Struthio camelus: one gene and its partners. The protein of the gene in region 3 binds, or shares a complex with, the protein of the main gene of each other region. Links are inferred from orthologs where the notes say so. Each region holds a gene or a part of one and is shown on either strand. Other genes may lie near its edges.

Region 1 (6,959 bases), on a different chromosome or scaffold from region 3:
AAAAAAAAAAGTGACAACTTCAGATAAACTAATCGTTACTTCTAAAAAGAATTACTGCATCATAAAACATTAACACTTATCCTTAGATCACCTGTAGATTTGCAAGGAGATGAGAAGATATGACTTATGTTCCTTACACATTAAAGTGTGCATGTATTTGAGCTATACTAGGGTGCCTAAACTCAGTGATCAAACACACACAGTATGACAGCTCCCTAGTTTCTCCAGCTTTCTAGACCAGCAGGAAGAAATTGACTTGAATTCATTTTTGTTTCATTCAAGGTTAAAAGTTTTAATCAATATTCTAAGTGTAAAATGGTTAGGTGTTTAATATTAAAGTTCAAAATATTTTTCACTGACATACTGAAAGTGTTAGGTAAAGATCAGTGCTCTATAAACTTCCACAAAGGTACACCACAGCTTTTTCCCCACATTAAAACTAACAGTTTGGAAGTCAGAACAGTACAGGCATTACTGCATAGTCATATATAATCTTCTGCAACTTAGCAATGTTAGTTAGCTCTATTAAAATAATTAGAACTGAAATAATATCTCTGTTTAACCCATTGTATTCCGTTTTCAGAATCACTGCTGTTGAGAGGAATAATTCACATGTCCCTTCTAGGTCGAGCTGCCTTCACATTCAGGAAGATAACAAGGAACCATCTGATGCTCAGTTCGTGTTTGTAACATCATGCTAAAAGCTTAATAATAATAACAACACTTTAAAAAGAGGGGAAAGAAAGAAAAGGATGCTGGACACAAGGCGCTGGTGCCGAGGAGGGCAGCGGAAGCCGTGGGGGCCCAGCTGGCAGCGGCAGTTGGGACGGATTCACCCTCAGGTTCCAGGGAGGCGGCGCATTCCAAGCCCTGCCCGCGCCCCCCGGCCCCCTCCTCCCACGTCCATGGGCGAAAACCAGCTCACCACAGAGCAAGCCCCCTTGCACCTCGGGTCAACACGAAGCGCCGTTTACTTTTTGGCCTCGCTTAGAATGGGACACCAGTAGACTGTAAGTTAAATGTATGTGAAGGTCTGGGGCTATTAACTTCAGATATTGCTTTAGGGGGAAGAAGAGACTGTCAAATGTGTTAGAATTGTCAAAGGAACTACAATAACCTTTCTCAGTTATGAAACTGCAGTGAAATATTGCATGAGAGTGGAACGCTGCCATGTAATTTCATCAAACAAGAAATTTGAAACATTAGGGGGGAAAAAAAAGTACTTCAAGAATTCTGTGCTAGCTATCTTCAAATAAAACTCACCTTGATTTTCTCTTCCTTTATTTTGCAGCTCTGAGTTGGGTACCATTGAAAGAAAAAAACAGATCTTCCAAATGCGAAAAAATCAAGCATAGTTTAACAGAATTAAACTTAATACCATGTGGAACAAAACAGTTATATTTCCTCCTTACTCTACATCTAGATTAATGATCTTGAAAGCATCTCGATGTAAACTTATACTATGATGATTAGTTTCAGGAATGTCATCATCATACACTGATAAGGTATTCTTCTAGGGTTATTGATCTCGAACCAGAAGTTCCTCTGCGATCCACAACTAGTTTTATTTTCAAATATAAGATGAAAGCACTTCATATCCGTAAGGGAAAATACAAGTTACAGCTTTGTAAAGATGAAATTATCGGTTACAATACCATAGATGGAATTTCTGAAGTTACGGAATGCAAGTTAAGAGTAACAGAAAACACTCTCTATGCACTGTTGTCTTGCAGACTGCTAAATTATGACAGTTCCAGCAGCTACCCTCTGCAAGCAAAGCCTCTTAATGAACCTTTCCCCATTTCTTACACAATTACAGCCCAAAAGTACTGCCTTCTTGTTTGACTTTCAGTTTTGCAGAAAAATAATATTAATTTGTGAACTCTTTCACTCTTCAGAAGAGATGCAGCACAGGCAGGTTTAGTAGATTTTGTAAGTGAAACTTTGAAGCCATCCTCACTTCCACAGGAAGCATGGTTTCACAGCAAACCCCAGATGCCATAGATAGGAAAAGATGCTAAATGAGTAATACTAATGTGAAAGCTTTCTCAGTCCCAATCCTTTTTTAAAGCACTACTTTATCAGTTTTCAGAAACTGATTTTCTATTCAGGGCAAAAATAACCATGGCAATAAAACAGTTCTCCAACATTCATCTTTTAAATACAAAGTGAAGACACATGTGTTTTCTTATAAATGAAAGAAAAGTGTATCTGGGGCTGCTGTTGAAGTTTGAGAGAAACGCTCTTCAGGAGATTTCAGGCTAGCTTATGACATCCTCAATCAAGGAACATGCCAAGTGAGAGTAAACGGGTTCATTTAAGATATTCGGCCAAGCAGCAGGCCTGAACATCAATTTCAAGCCTCAAGCCTGACATGCAGGCAGCGCAGAAACAACTCAGAAATAGAAAAGCAAGAAATAACACACCAGCAGCAGGAAAACAAGCAGCAGGAAAAGTCACTGTGGAAGCAAAGTTGTCGTGGGGGACAGGGCCAGCGACCGCAAGAAGCAGGAGCCGAGGAGGTTGCCTAGGTAAGCTACAACAAAGAGGCAGAGCAAAAAAGGGCGCAGGTGGGAGCAGCCTACAGGTGCGAGGAGCAGTTTATACCCGCGAGGTGATGCGGGGCAGCCAGGGGGAAGACGGGTGCCGCGCCTGTGGGGGTGCAGGGCCAGGAGGGCTGAGAGGGACAGCGGGAGCGACACCAGAGCGCGGGAGGCCACGAGCGGAGCCGGCACAGCCCGGCCCGGGGAGCCGCGGAGGGGGGGGGGGGCGGCACCGGGCAGGCCTGGCCGGGGGAGGGGTAAGATGGCGCAGCGCTCGCGCAGCCACACTCACCTGCGCGGTCTCTTCGCCATCCTCGGGGCGCACCATGGGGGGGGGCGCCAAGGCAGCAGGGTGCAGCCCCCGCCCGGGCTCCTCCTCCCGCAGCCGCCCCGCTGGCCGCCCCGGGGCGGCGGAAGGGACAGCGTCGCGGCGGGCGGCGGGCGGCTGGCGGTGACTTCAGGCGGGCGCGGCTCCTCTGACGGCTCCCCTCTCCCCGCGCAGCTCCGCGGCATCCAGAGCCCGCTGGCGGCCGCCCTCAGCCCCGGCCCGGCCCCGCACCCGCCGCGGCAGGCATGGCTCGGCCTCAGCCCGGCCGCTGCCCGCAAGCACGGGACGCGCAGGGGCCCCGCTCTCGCCCAGCTGCGCCTTCTCGCTCCTGTCAGAGCCGCCGCGGGCTCCGGCGGCGCCCTCCCGCCCCGAGCCGCTTCCCCGCCGGGCCTCGTCTCGCCTCCTCCCGTGCCGTGCCGCCTCAGTCCGGCCCGGCCCGCTGGCCGCCCCGGCCCTCCGCCGGCCCCGCGGTCCGGGCTGCGCCGCCACCGCCGCGCTCGCGGCGGGTTTGGATGGTGCCGCCGAATCTCGCGCCCAGCCTCCTTCCAGAGCCACCGTTTGAATCTGCGCAGGCGGACTGCCGCCCCATTGGCTGCCGCCGCCGCACGCGACCGGGGCGGGGCCGCGCGTCCCGCGGGACGGGGGGACGGGGGGAGGGGGAAAGGGGGGCGGGGCCGGCCTGCGACGGGGACGGGGGGGGCGGCTGGCGCGAGGCATGACGGGGGAGCGAGTCTTCGCCGCTGACAGGGCGGCGGCGGCGCCGCGGGCGGGGGCGGCGGAGGCCCGAGCTCGGCTCGCCGCCAGCCCGCTCCCCCCCCCCCCCCCCCGCCCCGTATAACGCCGCGTCGCTGGGGGCGGGCAGCCCGGAGCCGCGAGCGGCGCCTCGGCGCGGCGCGGTGCCCCGGGCGCTGTCAGACGTGGCGCGCGCGCTCCTGACTGGCAAAAAAAAATTAAAAAAAAAAAAAAAAACCGACGCTTTCAGCGCGCCGCCGCACGGCGCAAAACCAAGCCTCCTTCGAGCCGGAATCGAACCAGCGACCTAAGGATTCCCGCGGGCGGGCGGCGCCTCTACAGTCCTCCGCTCTACCAGCTGAGCTATCGAAGGGAGCTGCCTGAAGCGCCCGTCCCGCGCCTTACAGCCTCGCCGCGCCCCTCGCGGTGGCGCCGGGGCTGCGGCCGACCCCCACCTCGGGCAGCGCCGCCGCCGAGCAGCAGCAGCAGCCGCTGCCGCCGCGACAGAGCCCGTTACAGCAGACACTGCTCTTAGTTCTTGCGCTCTTCGGGAAGTAGCGACTTTCACACACCTTGTAATAAACAGTTGTATTTAAAAACAAAAACAAAAAAAACACCCGAGGCTTGAATTTTTATATTTGTGTGTGTGTGTATTTTCACGTTCACTCTAAGTACCTCTATGCCATTTTTATTTCAGGAACTCGGGACTTAGTCTAACTACGCATTTCTTCCACTGTGTGCAGCCGTAAGCAAAAAGGCCATGAAAACTAGAAAGTGAAAAAGAATATGAATATATAGTATTGTGATGATGAATAGATCGTGAATATATAGAATTATTAATTTTGTCCTAGATGAGATACACTTAAATGCATAGTATTTCTCACCTTAAGTGTTTACCACGGATAAATCACGTGCCTAAATCCACAGCTGTAATACTAAAAGCCCAAGGTCTGACTAGCCCTGGACGTGCCTATATTTCACAGACACTGCCAGTTATGAACTCTAAGATCCCTGGAGGCCGATGAACTGCCTCGGATCAGACCAGCTTTAGATCAAGATCTTTACCCGGTCCAAGTCTGGCAAAGCCAGCGCCTAGCTAAAAACCTGCGGCAGCCGTCCCCGTCGTCGAAACGTGACCCAGGAGGGCAACGGCTGCGGTGCCGGTTTGCACGTCTCGCGTGCTGCCGCTGTCCTTCACACCGCCGCTCCGGGCTGAGCCAGACCCACCTGCCCCTCTGCTTCAGCTCAGCGTTTCCCACCTCCCAGGAAAGCGCATCAGAATAAAGTCCTCGGGCCTGGAAATACTCCTTATTCCTCTTTTCAAAAGTTGTGTGAAGGAGAGGAGAATGAGGAGGGGGGGAAAAAACCAAAAAATAAATCATGGTAGTCGTAAGAGCGAGTAAAAATGAGGGAGGCTGAGTCCATCCGTAGCGGTTAGGTAGCCCCTGGGAGGAAGCAGCAGGGTTGCTGCTTCCAGGCCCATCTGTATGTTCCCAACTGCTAGTTTAATGTAAATATATAGGAACAGTCTCTCTTTGGGCCAGTGACTCTGCAATTCTTTGCCAGGCAGGAGCACAGTCTCAGCAAGCAGCTCAGAGATAGCCCTTCCCCCTTCCCTCCCGTTTCCCCCTCCTCCAAAAAATTGTGATGCCCAGTGGTTAAGCACTTGCTTGAGAAACAAGAAATGCGGGTTTACTCAAGCCCAGCCATCCCACTTATTGGGCGATGGCCCTAACCACCACGCTGTTGTACAAAAGGAGAAGCACCCAAATGCCTCACCACATCCTCTTGTGGCTGTGTAAACAGAAACACAAACCCTGCAGGGTTCCTCGGAGCGAAGGCCTGCCCGAACGATAGGGGTTGTGAGCAAGTGAGCCAAAATACCTGGGAGCACCTTCCCCTTGGAGTCGGTGTTTAAAGATCTCCTTTCCTCGGTGATCAGCTTTTAGGCAGGCACAGCATAAATGCACTGATTCAGGCAGGACTTTGCTGCGCTGCTGCTGTTTCAGACGCCCGAGGTACTGCAGGTACCACGCTCATGTCTTCTGATTGCATTTAAGGGATAAAGTATCTAAAAAGGGATGATGGATTGCAGTTCTTGGGTGCAGAGGCCCTAACACTCAGCTCTTTACTGTGATTTTTACCTTCTCGAATGGTGCCAAAGGAGACATCAAAACAGCACATGGTTTCTTCTTTTAAACACATGTTTTGTCTTCACTTCAGAGACAGATTTACTTACAGAAGATTGGTAAACACCACAATAGAGAAAGTAACTTCCTGAACATGCAACTGCCATGAAATTCAAACTAGATTCTAGTATAATCTGTGTGTTTTCTCGATATCCCCCTACACCAAGTCTTAAGCTGCAAGCTAGTGGTATGCATGAAGCCTCATTCAAACAAAACTTTGAAGCTGAGTTATAAGCATAAAGAAAATGTAACCGTTTCAAAACTCAAAAAATTATCGGAAGCTGAAAATTCAAATAGGGATTTTTAGGGACATTTATTTAGGCGATTTGGTGCACTCTCAGAAGCTCGAGAACAGCGCAGGCATGAATTTCAAGGTTTATTAGAGCTGGGGCCTAATGCCAGCATGTGGAGCTCAGTGAAGGAGAAAGGTCTACCTCTGTACTGGAACGTTTTTCAACATACTGTATGCCACCATAGGGTACTCTCATTTCTTCTACAATACGATTAAGTTCTTAAGCCAATAAGTGCAACCTCCATACTCTTGCACTAGAGTTTTGAAATACAGTGGCTCAACAACAGTGACACAGCAGTTAACCTTGATTGCTATTGGCATTTGATCACAGGGAAAGAAAAAATTTACTCCATTTTATAAACATTAACTGTATACGACAGAAACATTCAGGCACCTTATTTTGTTCTCAGCCCAGGCAGCGGATGCATTTCTTTGAGAAATCTGTAGTCATTTACATCAGAATTGGTAATATTTTCCCCAGAATGTAACATGTGAGCAGCAGCAAATGATTTTGATTGCTTTAAGGCTTATTGATGGTCATTTTGAATACTAGCTGGAATAATAGATTCATTTGTATGTTTTAAACCCAACTGCATTCTCCTTTGAGATATTTCAGCACTGTGGAAAGATATGAGCTGTGAAATTGATCTAGTCTAACAATACCCCGACGTCACGCAAAAGCTACACAGGAAGCAAACTTACAAAGAAATAAACCCATATTGTAAAGTTCTTCAACTATCTCATGTTATTTATATACACGTCATCCATGTTTGGATAACACACCCAATATATAGTTTCTACTTAATTTATGAATAGTACTGGATCTACAGGAAAAAATAATCACCCCACATGCGCTCCAGCTGAAAGCATGTGCC
Region 2 (7,741 bases), on a different chromosome or scaffold from region 3:
CAAGCTTTGAGTGACTATGTATTTCTCGTTGCTTCTCTGTACATTAAGATGTTTTTCAATTGCTTCTGAACTACTCAAATTCTCTGCAGGATTAATTTGTTAAACCAATCACTGTTGCACTGAAATTCTCACTATTTGAAAGCTACAACAGCTCATATCAAAATTTAACCTGCTGTTTAAAAATGTGAAGTTATATTACTTTTCCTCAGCTTGTCAGTTGTTTTTTAAGTGAAGATACATTCTAATTGGAACACGGAGTAGTATCTTGTCTTATTGTCAATAAGGAAACGTGAAAGCCCAATTACATTAGCCGTTAACAAAGGGTTCAGTTTTAAACACAGAATCTATTTAAACATTTCTTCTAATTGTTAAAAAAAAAAATACTGAAACGGGTAAAGAGGAAAAAGATCACTTCTCAACCTTTTGGCTTAGATCAAGCATACCATAGATGGTTGGAGAGGTAGGCCACAGAATCAAAGCTACTAACCTTGAAGACAATGATAATGAAAGTCTATGATGAAAGTCCCCAAAGCCTGGTTTTACTGACACCAATTAGCATCTTTTCATAGCTAGAGGAGAAACAATGAATACACATGGACAGTGAACTCTCCCCTGAATATATTATACCTCCTTGAGTAGAATACTAGCACTGACACTCCTGTTTTGCCTGTTGTCAACAGGTAACAATAAAAGAGTAGTCAGTGACAAACTCAACACCTGAACAGTATTTTTATGTACGTAAACTCAAAAATAAGTATTTTTAGCATCCAATGTGAATACACATAACGCCACCAACGCAAGTGCTTAAGTGCTTTTATGAGGACATTGACTCCTTGATTAATTACTCTGAAAAATGGCTGCAGATATAAAGCTGGCTTTATGTTGTAACATCTGAAGAAAAACAGTCTCAGCGTGGTGTATAACAGAGGAAAAGTATATTCCACAAATCCACTAATGCCGGCTACTGTAAAGCATAAATTGCTTTCCTTCTGCTAGTAAAAACAAAAGCAAAAATATATTAGCTATTCCTCCGCATATGACATACTACAAACATACTTACATCTTTTGCCATGTTACCAAAGACTAGAAATCAATCCTCTTCAAATCTTGATGGCTGCAGGACACAGAGACAATTGATGCTATTTTCTAGAAAGTAAGTAAAGACAACATCAGCTACAAGAACGAAAGGGGGAAAAGTTTTTACCGTGGAAATTACTGAATACCACCAAATACATTTTACTTTTTAAAAAAAAATGTTTTTAAGAAGAAAAAGTTTTATGTCATCATCAAATAACCCCCTAGTGCCCCCCACCCCAAACTCACATTTAGAAATACCCCTTATCCTACAGCTGGGGTGAGCTCTCCGCTGGCAGGAGCGCCCTTCCCCCAGCACATACCCGATCCCAGCAGGGCAGCCGGAGCCCACGCTGGGCCGGTCCCTGTCCAGCTGCGCCCTTTGCAACCCCGCGGAGAAGGGCGCGGGCAGAAGCGACGGGGAGAAGAGATCACTCCCTCGGCGGCCTCCTCCTCCTCCCCACCCCCATTTCCAGCAGCAGGCACAAGTAGGCCTCAGGGGCCAGCTCCCCCCGGGGCCTTCCGCAACCCCCCTTTCCTCCTCCTCCCCTCGCGGGCGGACGGGCCGCGGCTGCACCAAGAGGCAGAGACGGGCACTTGCCACCGCGCCTCGGGCACCAGCACGCCCGCCCGCCTCCCCCACCGCCCCCTCGATGCCCCCCGACCAGGGCCTCACCGCCCGGGCAGAGCCCTAAGCCCCGCGCCGCCTTCCCCTCAGCAGCGAGGGGCCGCGCTAATCGCCTCAGCGGCGGCGGGGGCACGAGGAAGGGGGGAAATGCGCCCGCGCGCGAGGCGGCATCGCCGGCAGCGGCTTGGGGGGGGGGGGGGGAAGGCGGCAGCAGGCGGGCGGGGGGGGGGGTCCGTCCTCTCCTAATCCTCCTCGCCCCGCCGCCGGCAGCACCTCGCCTGGCGCCAACTCCCCCCCCCCCCCAACACCCCCCTCGGATCATCCCCATCCTCCTCCTCCTCCTCCCGCAGGCCGGCCCGGGCTGCCCGCACCTGAGCGGCCGAAGGCGGAGAGAGCCGGCTCCATCCCCCGCCGCCGCCCCCAGACAGGGACCCGGAGCGCGGAGCAGGAGCACCCCCCGCCCGGCGCCGCGCTGCTGCGGAGGCGCCGAACTGCACATGTGCGGCAGCGGCGGCGGCGGCGCGCGCGGGCCTGGCGAGCCCGGCGGGAGGGGGCAGGGGAGGAGGCAGCCGGCGGCAGCGACTTGGGGGGGGGGGGGGGGAGACGACCAACGGTCCCCAACGGTAGCTCAGGCGGGGAGGGGGGGCCGGCAGGGACCGCCCCCCTCCTCGCGCGGCGCGGCGCGGCGTGGAGAGCACGGGGGGGGGGGGACATGGGGGGGGCGGCTCGCCTCACCGCCTGTCACTTCCCAGACCGCCCCTGCCCCAGCGGGTCAACGGCCTGGCGGGCTCCCGGCGAACCGCCGCCGCCGCCTGCCCCCCCCCCAGGTGCGAGCGGGCCCGCCCGGCCGCCCCCGGCCCCGCACACCTGCGCGGGCTCCGCGCCGCCCGCCCTCCGCGCTCTCCCCTGGCCGGGGCTGCCGCGGGGGGTGGGGGGGGCGCGGAGGGGGCGCCAGCACCGCGGCCCCTCCCCGGGTCCCGCGCGCGCGCGCGCGCGCGACCCTGCGATTCTTTCTTTCTTTCTTTCCTTTCTTTTTTTTTTTTCCTTTCCCCCGTTGGCAGGAAAAAAAAAAATTGAAACTTACACTTTTGTGCGTCCCACCGGCGTGACGCTGCGCGCTGACGTCACGGGGGTGTAGCGTGCCTTGCACGGGCACACGCGGAGCGGTTAGAGGCAACCGTCCGCCCCTCCGTGGGCGGAGGGAGCATGCGCGGGATTTTCGCGCCTTCGGACTGCCCGCCCTGCGGCGCTCGGAGCGAGCGCGCGGGAAGCCTCGGCGCGAGATTGCTCTTCGGCCCCGGCCGCCGCCGGGCTCCTCGCGGAGGGAGGGAGGCAGGCAGCCCGCGCCGCGTCTCGCCTCCGCGCTCCTCGCCCGCGGCCGATGGGAAGCCCTAGCGTTCCCCGGCCCCGGCTGACAGCGTTTCAGGGGCTGCGGGTGCCATGACGCTGTTAAATTGGAGCCGGCTTGCACGGTGTGGTTAGTTGCCACAACATCCTGCCGGTGCTTCCTCATCGCTTCTTGTCCTGCTGTTACTTGAGCAACTTCACTGAGGCTGATCCATTCCAAGCTTGTCATTTCATAGCACTTGCAGGGAAAAATTTTCCTGTTACACAGCTGCTGCTGTGGTGCTTGAATTAGGCCAGATCCGCCCTAAAGAATCAGCCTGCATGATTTCTTGCACTTAAGGATGTGAAACCTCCACATACTCTATATGCTAGCAGAAAGACAAGCGCGCGTGCAGCTACAGCAGCAGAAAAGATGTTTGTTAGCTAGGGCTGCGTGATGTAATTATACAACAAAGATGTAATTTTTGGCAAAAAACTTTCAGCATGCATAGTAGGAGCTATAAAGGCATAGCAATAACGGTAGAAACTAGCAAAGGCAAAGCCTTATGCTTCAAAAGCTGTGTTGGTTATAGGTGCAGATAAAAGACTGCTTGAGGGAGGGAGCTGCTCAGCAACTTTTGCATGCAATACCAAGTGTGTATGATAAGGTTATCGTAACACAGTCAAGAGGGGAGCAGGAAAGAAAAGATTCTTTCTTTCTCAAAAACTGTGCTACTTCCTGATCGTGCCTGGGAAAGACGACTATTCGTGAATAAAAGACATTACCAGGAGAGCTACTATATAAAAACAGAACGAAAAATCAGTCACAGTCCCCAGAGAAGGTTCATCAGTTGACTAGATTCACACTGAGTTTACCTCTTTTACACTTTTTTTTTTTTTTTTTTAAATCTTGGAGTTGTGTTTTCTAACAATGAGAAAACACTAGTTACTCTGATTCTTTTGATAAATGTAGCCACAGTCCAAGTTTTTCCTTTACAGTAACACCTTGCTACCTGTCACTCACTATTTTCAGGTTCCATGGCTGATGATTTAGTACCCTGCTCTGCTAACTAAAATGGGGTTATACCCATTTTTCCATTCTTCATTCTTGACTGAGCTTGAAGAGCAGTGAGCCTCTGAAAAGATAATCATATTGGAAACGTAACTGTTGAGGAAGACACAGACCTCCCCAGTGCTGCCCCTGAATGCCCAGAGCTGACCCTCAGGTGAAGCAGCTGAGATCTTTCTGCATGGTGACCCATTCCAAGAACAGGTAGATAAAGCTGTCAGCAGTATTGCAAGATTCAACTACATTAAGAGAGCTACTATTCAAAATCTCAGGCCAGTAAGCTGTCAGCTCTCCAGTCAACAAAACCAGCCTCAGCCAAAAAAAAAAAAAAAAAACACACACACAACAACTCAAAAAAGCCAGCATCTCCTCCAGTTGTTGATGCTGCTCTCCATCTTCTGTGCCATATATACTGTGTCAGTGTATTTAAACTGTGTATATTTCTTAAGTCCCTGCATGCGTCTCCCTTTATTACCTCAATTCTTAGGGGAAAAAATTGTTTCACTATACCAACTACCACAAAGCACTGCAATTTCCAGGAATGCATCCTCAACAGACGACAGGGTGTCCCGTCCTAGGATAAAGGGACCACAAAAAAGCAAATACTTCTAAAAAGGTAGAATTCAGTGACTGTGCTAAGGAACAAAGCATTTTCTCCCATGTTTTGAGTTCTACCTGACAGACTAGCACCACCTTAAAAAAGTTTGAGGTTGAAGAGAAAAATTCTAGCTTCTCTAGTACAGAGGAAAATTGACAAAAATCTTCTTACAAAGAAAAATAAAAATGAAAAATAATGTGTTTGCAGTTGTGGTTTGTATGGACTAAGACAACTATGCTAGCTTTCAGAGCAAAGGAGTAGTAGCAATCAAAGGACAGAACATGAACCTGGTCTACCACTACCTGCTTTTGCAAACTACGTAGCTTCTCTACAAACATGTGAATCAAGTCTTTCTTCATCCTAGACAATAAAGAAATGGTAACTGAAGACCACTGTTTTTTCATTACTCAAGTTCTTCTATTTACATTTGTCATGTAATCCTGCTGTGTTCCTTATGCGTGCCAGTAAGCTTCTTGTCTTTGCCCTGAACTTCCTGTGAGACAATTGAACAAGCACATACTACAGAGGTACAGCACTTGTTTTTTCCTTTAATGCTTTAGGCGTTCTCCATTCCTTATGCAGCTTGGGGTGGGGGTGAGAGGAGAGAATGTTATCCTCCTTTTGCCAGCATTTATTTTACCACATTAATAACTCCCTAAGCCTATTTACTCCCAGCAGTTTTTTTCTTAAGCATAGTGTTGTTTACAACTAATTTGAAATATTTTATCAGTGGAAAAATCTTCACTGTTTCTCTAATCTCTGAGCACTCCTTTTTTGGCCTTTTCTCAGGCATTCTGGAGCTTTCGGACTTGCTTTGTTTGTAGTAGTAGAAAGCTATCCCTATTGACGACTGTTTCTCCTCTGGTGTACCTCCTCATTTTAAATAAGTTCGAAAAGGAGAACAGATCACACCTTCAAGTCATATCACTCTGGCATAATGTGTAAAAGACACAGAAACAAAGAAAACTACGGGTTGCAAGAGGTTATCTAGCCTATAGTTAGCTACCTATGACATGAGACCAGCGATAGCACAGGGACACATTTTGACCTGCATGCTTCACAGCTGGAAGCTATGCCATCTTAAGGCAGGCACATCTTAAGGCAGACACAACTGTCTTAAAGAGACAGCTAGTATCAACTGATCAGCTTTTCAGCATCTGGGCTCATTTAGAGGTAGTATCTCCCAATTCCCAAATTTGTTTTACCTTAGGAAATAAAAATACAGCTGGGTACTGTAACCTTGGAAGTTTGCCATTCTCTGATCTAGATTTTGCTCTGCAAGGCAGGATCAGTTGTCCTTAAGCCCCTTCTGGTCACACAATTGTCTAATTTGTTCTTAATCTCCAGCAACCAAGACTCCATAGTCTCTTCCAGTGATACACTGTTGCAAAGTTTTTCCCACCTGGCACCAGTAACTACTCAAGAGAGGCAGTAGGAGAACCAAGGAGGCATGACTCCTGAGCTACTAAGTGTAGTTGGTAGATGTATGCCTTTCTGCCTCGCCTTTTGTTTCCTTTTGGGCAAGGTGGGCCACATGTTTCCCCAACTGTAGGACATCTTGCTGCTTTTCCTTCACATTCCACTATTGTTTCCTCCCTCATTGTCAGATTAGTTTACTAGTGGATGTCTGCTAATTGCTGTTTATAAACTGTTGCTGCTTCCAGTGACAACATCTACACTGTCAGCATAGCTTGCCTCATGTCACTTAGTGGTCCAGTTTCCTCCATCTTCCACACTGCCCTGGTGCTGAAATACTGCCCAGATTGCTTACAGAGCAGCACTACAAATTCTTTCCCTAGACAAAAGCCAGGAGTGATTCTGAGGTTAGACTGCTCCTGGATTCAGTCCAACAGGCAATAAGACTTCTCATTCCCTCTATCAAACCTCATCATATAATACTATTCCTTTATGCTATAGCTGCCCCCTTCCCCCCCACCCACAAAGCAGAGAGCGTCCAACTGTTTAAAAAAAAAAAAAAGGCAAAAAAAAAGGAACCATGAAGCTGCTTTCTCATCATCTTTAACAACTATTAAAAAAATACATGAATTCTTAAAAACTTTACAAAGTTAGGGAAGTCCCATGGACTATGTCATTATGGCAGCATTCCTTGAGCTATCCTAGGCCCATGCAAGTGACAATTGCCAAAAACCTGCCTCCCACCTCTCAGAGTTTTCCTTTTGAGAGACTGAAGCAGAGCCTGCTTAGATGGGGTGAGCTGTAAGTAGGGTGGTTGTGCGTCAATACATACCAGCCTGACCCTGGGAATAGGAAAAGGAATCTAAGTATAAGTACAGTCCATGCTATGAATATTTAAACTGTTTGGTTCCTTCTCCTTCATGGGCAACAATGACTAAAGCAGCAATCAAGCGGGTAAGAACTCCAGTTCTCAGACAGAAAGCTACAGTCCCTGAAACAAACTGAGATGCATAAAGCAAGCAACCAGTTACACTCCCCTCCGCCAAAAGAAATAATAAATAAATCAGATATGCTGAACAAGTTGCCACTCGCATACAGAACAGACCCTTCCTTTCTACTCACTTAAGCTCACTTCACCACAGAAATAACCACTCATCACCAGCAAAGACAAAGGTTCTACCCTCCATCAGCTTTTCTGTATTCAAACAATACTGATCATTAGGTAAAAGAATGAGACAGATATCAGCCAACAAGCTGAAACAAAAATTTCCAGAAAAGACCACCTGTTCTTCAACAAGCCTTTATAAAATCATGAGATTTTACTTACAGGCGTTCTAGGTCTCTGCTTTATTTATATCTCCTCAACACGGGGCGGGGGAGACCACAAGTATTTTGGAGTACAAGTGTAAGTTCCTAAAAAGCTGCAACTGCATCTACATGGACCAGTTGTGAAATATTCTTCCCATTTTCCATACAGGCACATCAGATCTTTGAGGAACAACGTCTGTTGCTTCTATCCTAAGATTTTTATCATGAGAGTGTCCGATTTTGACATAGAATTATGCATGAAGGCATTACCTGCGTTTCAGGAAGTATTTACACCACTTTAAATGCACTCCACCTTTCTAAC
Region 3 (6,873 bases):
AAGCATCAGTCATCCCTTCAACACATGCAACTATTACTTGTATTACAGCTTCTTCTCCTGCATTGAGTTTGGCGTAGAGATCATCCAAAGCCACGGAACTGGAAATGCTTTCCCATTCAGCACAGGCAGCTAAGACTGTACAGACGGATTATTTCAGGACATCAACTACCTGAGGAGGTACTTTGCCAAGACAAAATACCCCTGTATTACTTCAGTTATTTTGGCTAAACATCATCAGTACTGCTCTTTGCGGGAGTTAATCTATCTCACTGTAGCTCTTCCCATCATACAGAGACATTCTCATTACAAGCCAATATCCGAATCCTACAGTGAATTGCAGAAACAACATACAGAGGAAAAGCTCTGCTCATATCAGCACTATCCCAGCAAGATGGAGGGGTCCTTCTTTATTCATTGCATTTCAGAGTCAAGGCCACAAAGCAAAGTGACCCTACCACTTCAGAACCTTCCCGGACTTTTTAAAGCACAAAACATGATCTTAATTTTTGTAAAGCTGTACCATAGGTAGCCCTTTCCAGGGAAAAGTCACATTAAGCCTCACAAATACCTCTGTTTCCTGCTTCGTTGTGGTTTAGAAGTTTCTTCGTAAGGGTTTTGAAATACATCCAAAAATATTGGTTCAAACTTTTTGAAAATCACAGTTGACACTTCAAAATTTCTCTCCAGCCTCTCTACTCGCTCTCGGAACTCCTGTGGTAGATTTGACATGTCCATCCACTTTTTCATTTTGCTAAAAAACTGAATTAAACTTCAAAGAAAAAAGAAAAATCTGTTTTATTTTGAGCTTTAACTAAGTGTATTTATTCTGTGAATTTCTGACCAAGGCAAAATGCCTTTATTTTGATGCACTGCCAAACTGTACACGTTGGAAGCTTTTAGCTTCTGTATTTATTCCTCTTGACTCTCTTGAAGCCACAGACATGGAAAAACCTTACTCGCATTCAAAGGCTGCCAGCACAGCAACGCTGGTTAAGGGAGGGCTACAGACGGAAAGAGCGTACATAGCTACGCGACTGTTAAGGGGGAGGGAGGGGAGGCAACAAAAACATGAGTCCATGCCTATCAAAGCTACCTAGACAAAAAAACATTAAATGCAGGTGTAATTACAGCGGCAAAAATCCCTTTGGCAGTCCAGCTGAAAATGGTTCTTTAAATGGAACATGAAATTCATTCATTTCAGTTATATCATTGGTTACAATTATAGTGGCAGCATCTATGTAAGCAGAGCTATCTACTGGAAAAACCTTGAAGCACATAAGTATTTATGCAATCGCGCAGTTCTGCGTCCCCAAAAACGCCAAACGACATAGCAGTCAAGACCGAATCTGGCAATTTGGCCTAAATCCCGAGTCAAATACAGGTTTTATCTGGATTACTAATGAAACATTCAGAAGTCTCAATTGTGTTTCAATTAACTACAAAAAGAAAAAACCCAACTCTGTGGGTGGAACAACTGTTAGTCTGATGTGGGTGGTTTTTCAAAGGATTGAAGTTGAACTCGGAGGGAAAAAAAAAAAAAAAGTATTTGCATCTTATTTCCATTTGTAACGAAAGAGGATTTATTGCTTTTACAACGTTACCTCGGGACATGCAAGTTTTGCAGTGCTTGGAGTCTTGACAAAAATAAAAGCCTGGGTGCCTAAATTACTAAGCATACGCTAATGGAACAATAAATTACTACCTTACATACTGGAAGAGTCAGATTCTGGGACTTCCACAATAAGTAACAACGTGAAAAAATTAACCTTAATTTGGCCGAACGTAGTATCCTGGTCAGCGAGACGCAGTTTCCTTCCATAAGGCCGCTTCCAACGGTCGGAATGACGCTCTTGCGGCAGGCGACGTACAGAGCGCATGCCAGCCAATGGACAACTTCTCCCTGCCAAACCACAGCAAGGCACCAGACTGCTGAGCCAGGAAAGGCTGCGCTCAGCTTACACCTCAGCTTTACAGAGCCTCCAAAAACCTCTGGTGACAATAACGAGAACCAGCATGTGGGGAGCTGGAGGGCTTTCTTCTCCGCACGTTTTGCGGAACTTATACAAAAACATATATCTATGCGCATACACATACACAAGGAGGTTACTGTTCTGTTTTTCCATTCAACTTGCAATAATAGAGAGGGCAGAGGATGTATTTTTTGAAAGAAAAAACAAAAAGTACACAGTGTAATTTGGCCACCGAGGCTAATGCAACAGCTGACATCTTTCAGACTCCTCCGGATATATTTTCTAACTGAGGATTACAGTAAGCACATGCCCATGTGGCTGAAGAGAAACGAATTTCAAGTAGAACTAATGAGTTCTTAAGACCAGGTTTTTGCAATACGCTTTCCCATTGAAGAGGGATTAGGAGATAAACGAATAGTGTATTGGCTGCATATTTGCCACCTAAATTTAAAGGGCGGTTTCAGCACCCAGCCACAGCCGAATCAGCTCCTACCAGCAGCGGCTTTTTCTGGGCGTGCAAATCTGTTTCATTTGTTATTTGACGAGCTCACACTGGCCTCTGCGCTCTAGCGCTCACAAGCGACGGCGAGTCGGAGCCACAGGAACCCCCGAACTGCTCCTTCCGGCCCAACCGCGGCAGCCCGGGGCGGCGGCAGGATGACAGCGGCCCCGGGCCGGGCCGCGCCGCCGCCGCCCCGCCCCGACCCACCGCGTCCCGGTGCCCCCGGGCGCGCCCGGCCCGCGGGCAGCGACGAGCGCGCGAAGCGCCGCGCCCCGGCGGGGCCGGCCGCCCCCGCGGCACCCGCTGACAGGCGGCGCGGCCCGGCCCGGCCCGGCCCCGCCGCCCTCACCTCCAGGCTGTAGGTGCCGCGCAGCGCCGTGAAGTCGCGCAGCGCCTCGGCGGCGCTGGCCGCGTCCAGGTTCAGCTCCTGGCAGAGGCGCTCGACGGCGGCGCCGGGCTCGGCGGGCGGCGGCTCCGCGCGGGACATGGCGGGGCCCGGCCCGGCCCGGCCCGGCGGCTCCGCTCCCGCAGGCCCCGCGCGCCAACTCCCCCTCACCCGGAAGGGACCGGCCCCTTCCGCCGCGCCCCGCCCTCTTTTGGCGGGAACGGGCGGCGGGGCGGCGGCCGGGCCCGGCGGCGAGGCGGGCGGTTGCTGGGGCGCTCGCAGCCCGTCCCGGCGCGGGGCCGCCGCTCTGTGCCCGCCGCTGCATTACCTGCTCGCAAAACGAGGATGTCGTTTCGTGGCAGCTTAAGGCAAAACAGTGTTAACGTGCTGTTTGTTATCGAGGTAATGAGGACTACCGGTTCCCGATTACCGGTATTATTAAAATCAAAACGAAACGTTCTGCCCTCTCTCTCGTTCTCCTTTCATTCATTTATTTTTTGGCAGGTCCCACATTCACAGGGTCTTGCGGCAAGCTGGTTCTGGGACGTGATCTTGTTACAATTTTTTTTTTTTTTGGTTGGGCTCATCTCTGCCTGAATACAGCCCCCAAAGCGGCCGGCCATGCTCTGCTCGACTGCCAGCGCCGAGGCGGGGAGCGGGTGGTGGGGCGCGGAAGGATTTTTAATTGGCTTAAGCTGCTGGGAAGCTGTGACCCCAGGGAGAAAAATGGGATGTGACGGACGAGAAAGGCGCTTTCAGCTGCTGCAGTCAGCTGTCAGCAGATCGGAGGGGAGGAGAGGGGCTGGGCTGGGGAGTTGCCGGGGGGACGCGACTGCTTGGCCACCTGCAGCATCTCCGGCCCGTGGGCCGGGAGGGCAGCAGGTAGCGTCTGGCAGATGCCGCGCTCAGCCTCCTCGGCCAGGAACCGCAGAGTGTCCCCAGGGCAGGACGGCGGTTCCTGCTCTCTGGGGCCTCGTGACAGCAGGCAATGCTGGTAACGACGCTGCTGTGGAAAGCTGGCTAGATCGCTTTATTTTTCAGCATTGATGTGGCTGCATTCATCGATAGCTGTTTGTGCTATTTTTAAACGGGCTGACTACAAAGACCAGCAAGAAACAGTTGATGACTTTAAAAAATATTCCCAACATCAAGATATGAACGGGCGCCAGGCAATCCGCCTCAAACTGGAGGGATTTTCTAGCAAATGTGCAGCGAAACAGCTGGCAGAAGTAAACGCAGGACCCGCCCCCGTCCTGCGAACGTGGGGTTACACGTAGGGGGACGGGGGGCGGCGGGGGCCCGGCCGGCCACCGACGCCGCCCGGGACGGGCCTGCCGCGCCACCGCAGCGCCGGGCTGGCAGGCGCGCTCTGTGGAGATCAGAGCAGCTTGGCGCTCGTTGCCGAAGGTGGAACGCAGGTGTCCTCTCGCGCTGCGCTGCGCTTCGCTCCGGGGTTGCGCTGAGGCTTTCTCCGTGGAAGCGGAAGCACAACGCGCGGGCAAGTTTGCGCCAAACAGCAAGACCGTTTCTTCCTTCTTCATCATCACCGGTCTCGGTGTAACGCTGCTGTGCGGAGACGCCTCCGTGCCGGGCTTTCCGGCTGGCTGCAGTCGCTCTCTCTAACACCCTTTGCTCTCAAATGGCAAAGATCCTGGGGCACCTGTGATCCCACTGACCTTTGTCTTCTCCTCTTTACCTGCCGAAACTCCAGGGGTATTTCATGCCGTCACCTTCGCTGTGATACGAAATGAACCGTTTGAGAGACCTGAGCCGCATCCTTGTTTGTATACCCCACCTTGGGTTTAAACTGGTACTATTACCGCTGTGGGGAACGATTAATAATTTTGAAAGAACTAAAATAACAAGCATATTTACGCCTTATCGTTGAGTGAACCTAAGAAGTTAGCCGGTAGGGACAGGCAACCACACAGGGACAGGTGAGCCACTATATTACTGTTGACTCTCTGCCCACTGAGAAAACCACAGACTTTGTGTCCAAGCCGCTGTTCAGGAAAGCAGGAAAACACTGTCATTTCACGGGGGCCCTGCTTGCCATGCTTGCAACCAGGGCCGGAGTCTGAGGCAGGGGAGGATGCACTAACTTTCCAATGAGAGGGGCGGGCGGCTTTTAGGGAGCAAAAAGAAAGAAGACTAGAAAAGAAAGTTAGAAACGTCTCAGGGTTTGGACAGCTTGTCCTGTTTGAAAGCTTCCTTAAAAGTGACTTAAACTCATGAGGCCGATTTTAAGCCACAGTAGCTGCAGCCGCTCTTCCCAGCAGCCGTGCTGGTGCTGCACCAGGAGAAACCGGCGGGCGAAGGGGGACGAGGTGGGCGCGGGGTGAGCTCCGCAGGCTGCCCCGAGGGCTGCGCGTGCCGAGGAGGGGGGCTAGGAGGGCTGGGGCTGTTTGCAGCTGAATTTGGGGCTTACAGGAAAGAGAGGGAAGAGCTGCTGAGGACAGTGAGGGAGGGATGGTCACAGGCAAGGAAGGAAGTGAAACCACGATCAGAGAAATGAATCTGAGGGATGTTCAGTATCTGGCCGCATCAGTGCTGACAATTCAAAGTACTGCAGCACAAACATTTATGGTACATCCAATTAAGTTCAGTCGCTTTTACAAGTAGAATGAGGGCATTTGGCCCCTCAGTAGAGATATAAACTGGAAAACTGCTCAGGTAACTCCAGTTTCCCATCGTTCAACTGAGCACAAGTTACCTACTTTGTAAAGCGTTCAGCCCCTGTTCTGCGGTGCCTATAAACATGTTTTTGAAAGTTATTCCCATTTGTGGGATTATTCATAGCTTTAGAGTTAAGCATGTACTTAAATACTTCGCTGGATCAGTGGATCTGAGTGCATGTTAAATTTAAGATGTTGAAGCTCAGCGTTCTAATCAAATTTCAGTCATAGGATCAATTCCCTTTAATTTAGTTCAAGTGGAAATTCAGAGGCAGAACAAAATTGCCAATTTGGCTTAATTAGTCACAGACTGTTAGCATTAAAATAGCACTAATGGCTGAGGTACTTCAGAGCACTCCAAATATTTGCTGGGAATATATTATCCCCATACAGGCTTTCAAGTGCTGTGCTGGCTCCCAGCTGCCTTGCGGTGGGCAGCAGCAGTCCCCATACTGGGTGATGCTGCGCAGCACACCTGTACCCCATGTAAGGGTTTTGCAGGCCATTAGGCATGTAAAAGTACATTTATAACCCTCCGAGCCAAAGGTTCCAGTTACAGGTATTCGGCCTTTTATAAGGTGACAAAAAAATTATTGGAGACAGCGTGGAGTGAGCATGACTTCTTTAGCTGGGAGCTAAAATACCCATTTGAGATGGAAGGAGGAGACCTGTCTTTCAAGCCCCTTGCTTCAAGACTACTTGTGTTTTTAACAGTAAATGGTCCGGTGCATAAAATACATCTTCATGCGCTGGAATAGGGCACCTCTGGAGCCCCAGCACCCCTAGAGCAGGTTACCAGCCTGATTAAGTCAGGTCCAGCAGACGCGCTTCCACATCATGTTAAGAGTGCCTCCCACGCTCTTCCTCACTAACTCGTGAAACTGCTGTTCATGAGCAGCTTCAGCAGTACCAGCCTCAATGACCCCCTGCGAGGAAGCTCACACAGCAGCTTCTGACCTGCCCTAATTTATGATGGGACAATTTAAAGCAAACAGGTGCTGACTTTAGTTTTTATTGAAACGTTCGTCTGCAGAGTGCAGAGGCCTAGGCACCGTTTTATGAGAAGTCGCTCTAGCTCTGCAGCAGGAATTACACACAAATGGCAACGCAACAACTTTGTTTGCAGTTGCCACATAGATTGTTCCCACGCAAGAGTTAATAGTCTTTAGTTACCTAAAGCTGTCAGTACTTTGGGTAAAAAAGGAGCCACGCTATAGTAGAGCCTGTTTCTCACTGAAAATCGGTTCAACTTGGAGGCTTTTGAAACTGTTGCTTAACCTAAATACTAGCTTTAATCCAAGCACCTACATATGTTTGAAAAAGATTTGCTCTCAGAGAAAG

The links. Proteins that work in one complex are often made in the same cells at the same time.
Region 1: RBL1 (region 3) and MYBL1 share a complex: the UniProt entries of both Homo sapiens proteins name them as parts of the DREAM complex. The link is inferred for Struthio camelus from reciprocal best matches to the Homo sapiens genes RBL1 and MYBL1.
Region 2: the proteins of RBL1 (region 3) and TFDP1 are in contact, whole or in part, in a crystal structure (PDB 5TUV), measured with the Homo sapiens proteins. The link is inferred for Struthio camelus from reciprocal best matches to the Homo sapiens genes RBL1 and TFDP1. Residues at the interface, in NP_002886.2 of Homo sapiens: Tyr1004, Phe1006, Asn1007, Ser1011, Leu1014, Ile1017, Asn1018, Ile1021; in NP_009042.1 of Homo sapiens: Pro260, Phe261, Ile262, Thr290, Phe291, Glu292, Ile293, His294, Asp295, Ile297, Glu298.

Annotation. Positions count from the first base shown.
Region 1 is NC_090943.1:132,430,885-132,437,843, reverse strand, and holds the start of MYBL1 (myb-related protein A), read right to left. Parts: upstream 3,002-6,959; 5' UTR 2,856-3,001; coding exon 2,836-2,855; intron 1-2,835. UniProt on the Homo sapiens protein: Transcription factor that specifically recognizes the sequence 5'-YAAC[GT]G-3'.
Region 2 is NC_090942.1:156,567,574-156,575,314, forward strand, and holds the start of TFDP1 (transcription factor Dp-1), read right to left. Parts: upstream 3,002-7,741; 5' UTR 2,787-3,001; intron 2,621-2,786; exon of another isoform or gene 2,570-2,620; intron 2,382-2,569; exon of another isoform or gene 2,074-2,381; intron 1,996-2,073; exon of another isoform or gene 1,751-1,995; intron 1,736-1,750; exon of another isoform or gene 1,324-1,735; intron 1,147-1,323; 5' UTR 1,073-1,146; coding exon 1,061-1,072; intron 1-1,060. UniProt on the Homo sapiens protein: Can stimulate E2F-dependent transcription.
Region 3 is NC_090959.1:872,796-879,668, forward strand, and holds the start of RBL1 (retinoblastoma-like protein 1), read right to left. Parts: upstream 3,001-6,873; 5' UTR 2,960-3,000; coding exon 2,822-2,959; intron 1,901-2,821; coding exon 1,767-1,900; intron 770-1,766; coding exon 569-769; intron 1-568. UniProt on the Homo sapiens protein: Key regulator of entry into cell division. Directly involved in heterochromatin formation by maintaining overall chromatin structure and, in particular, that of constitutive heterochromatin by stabilizing histone methylation.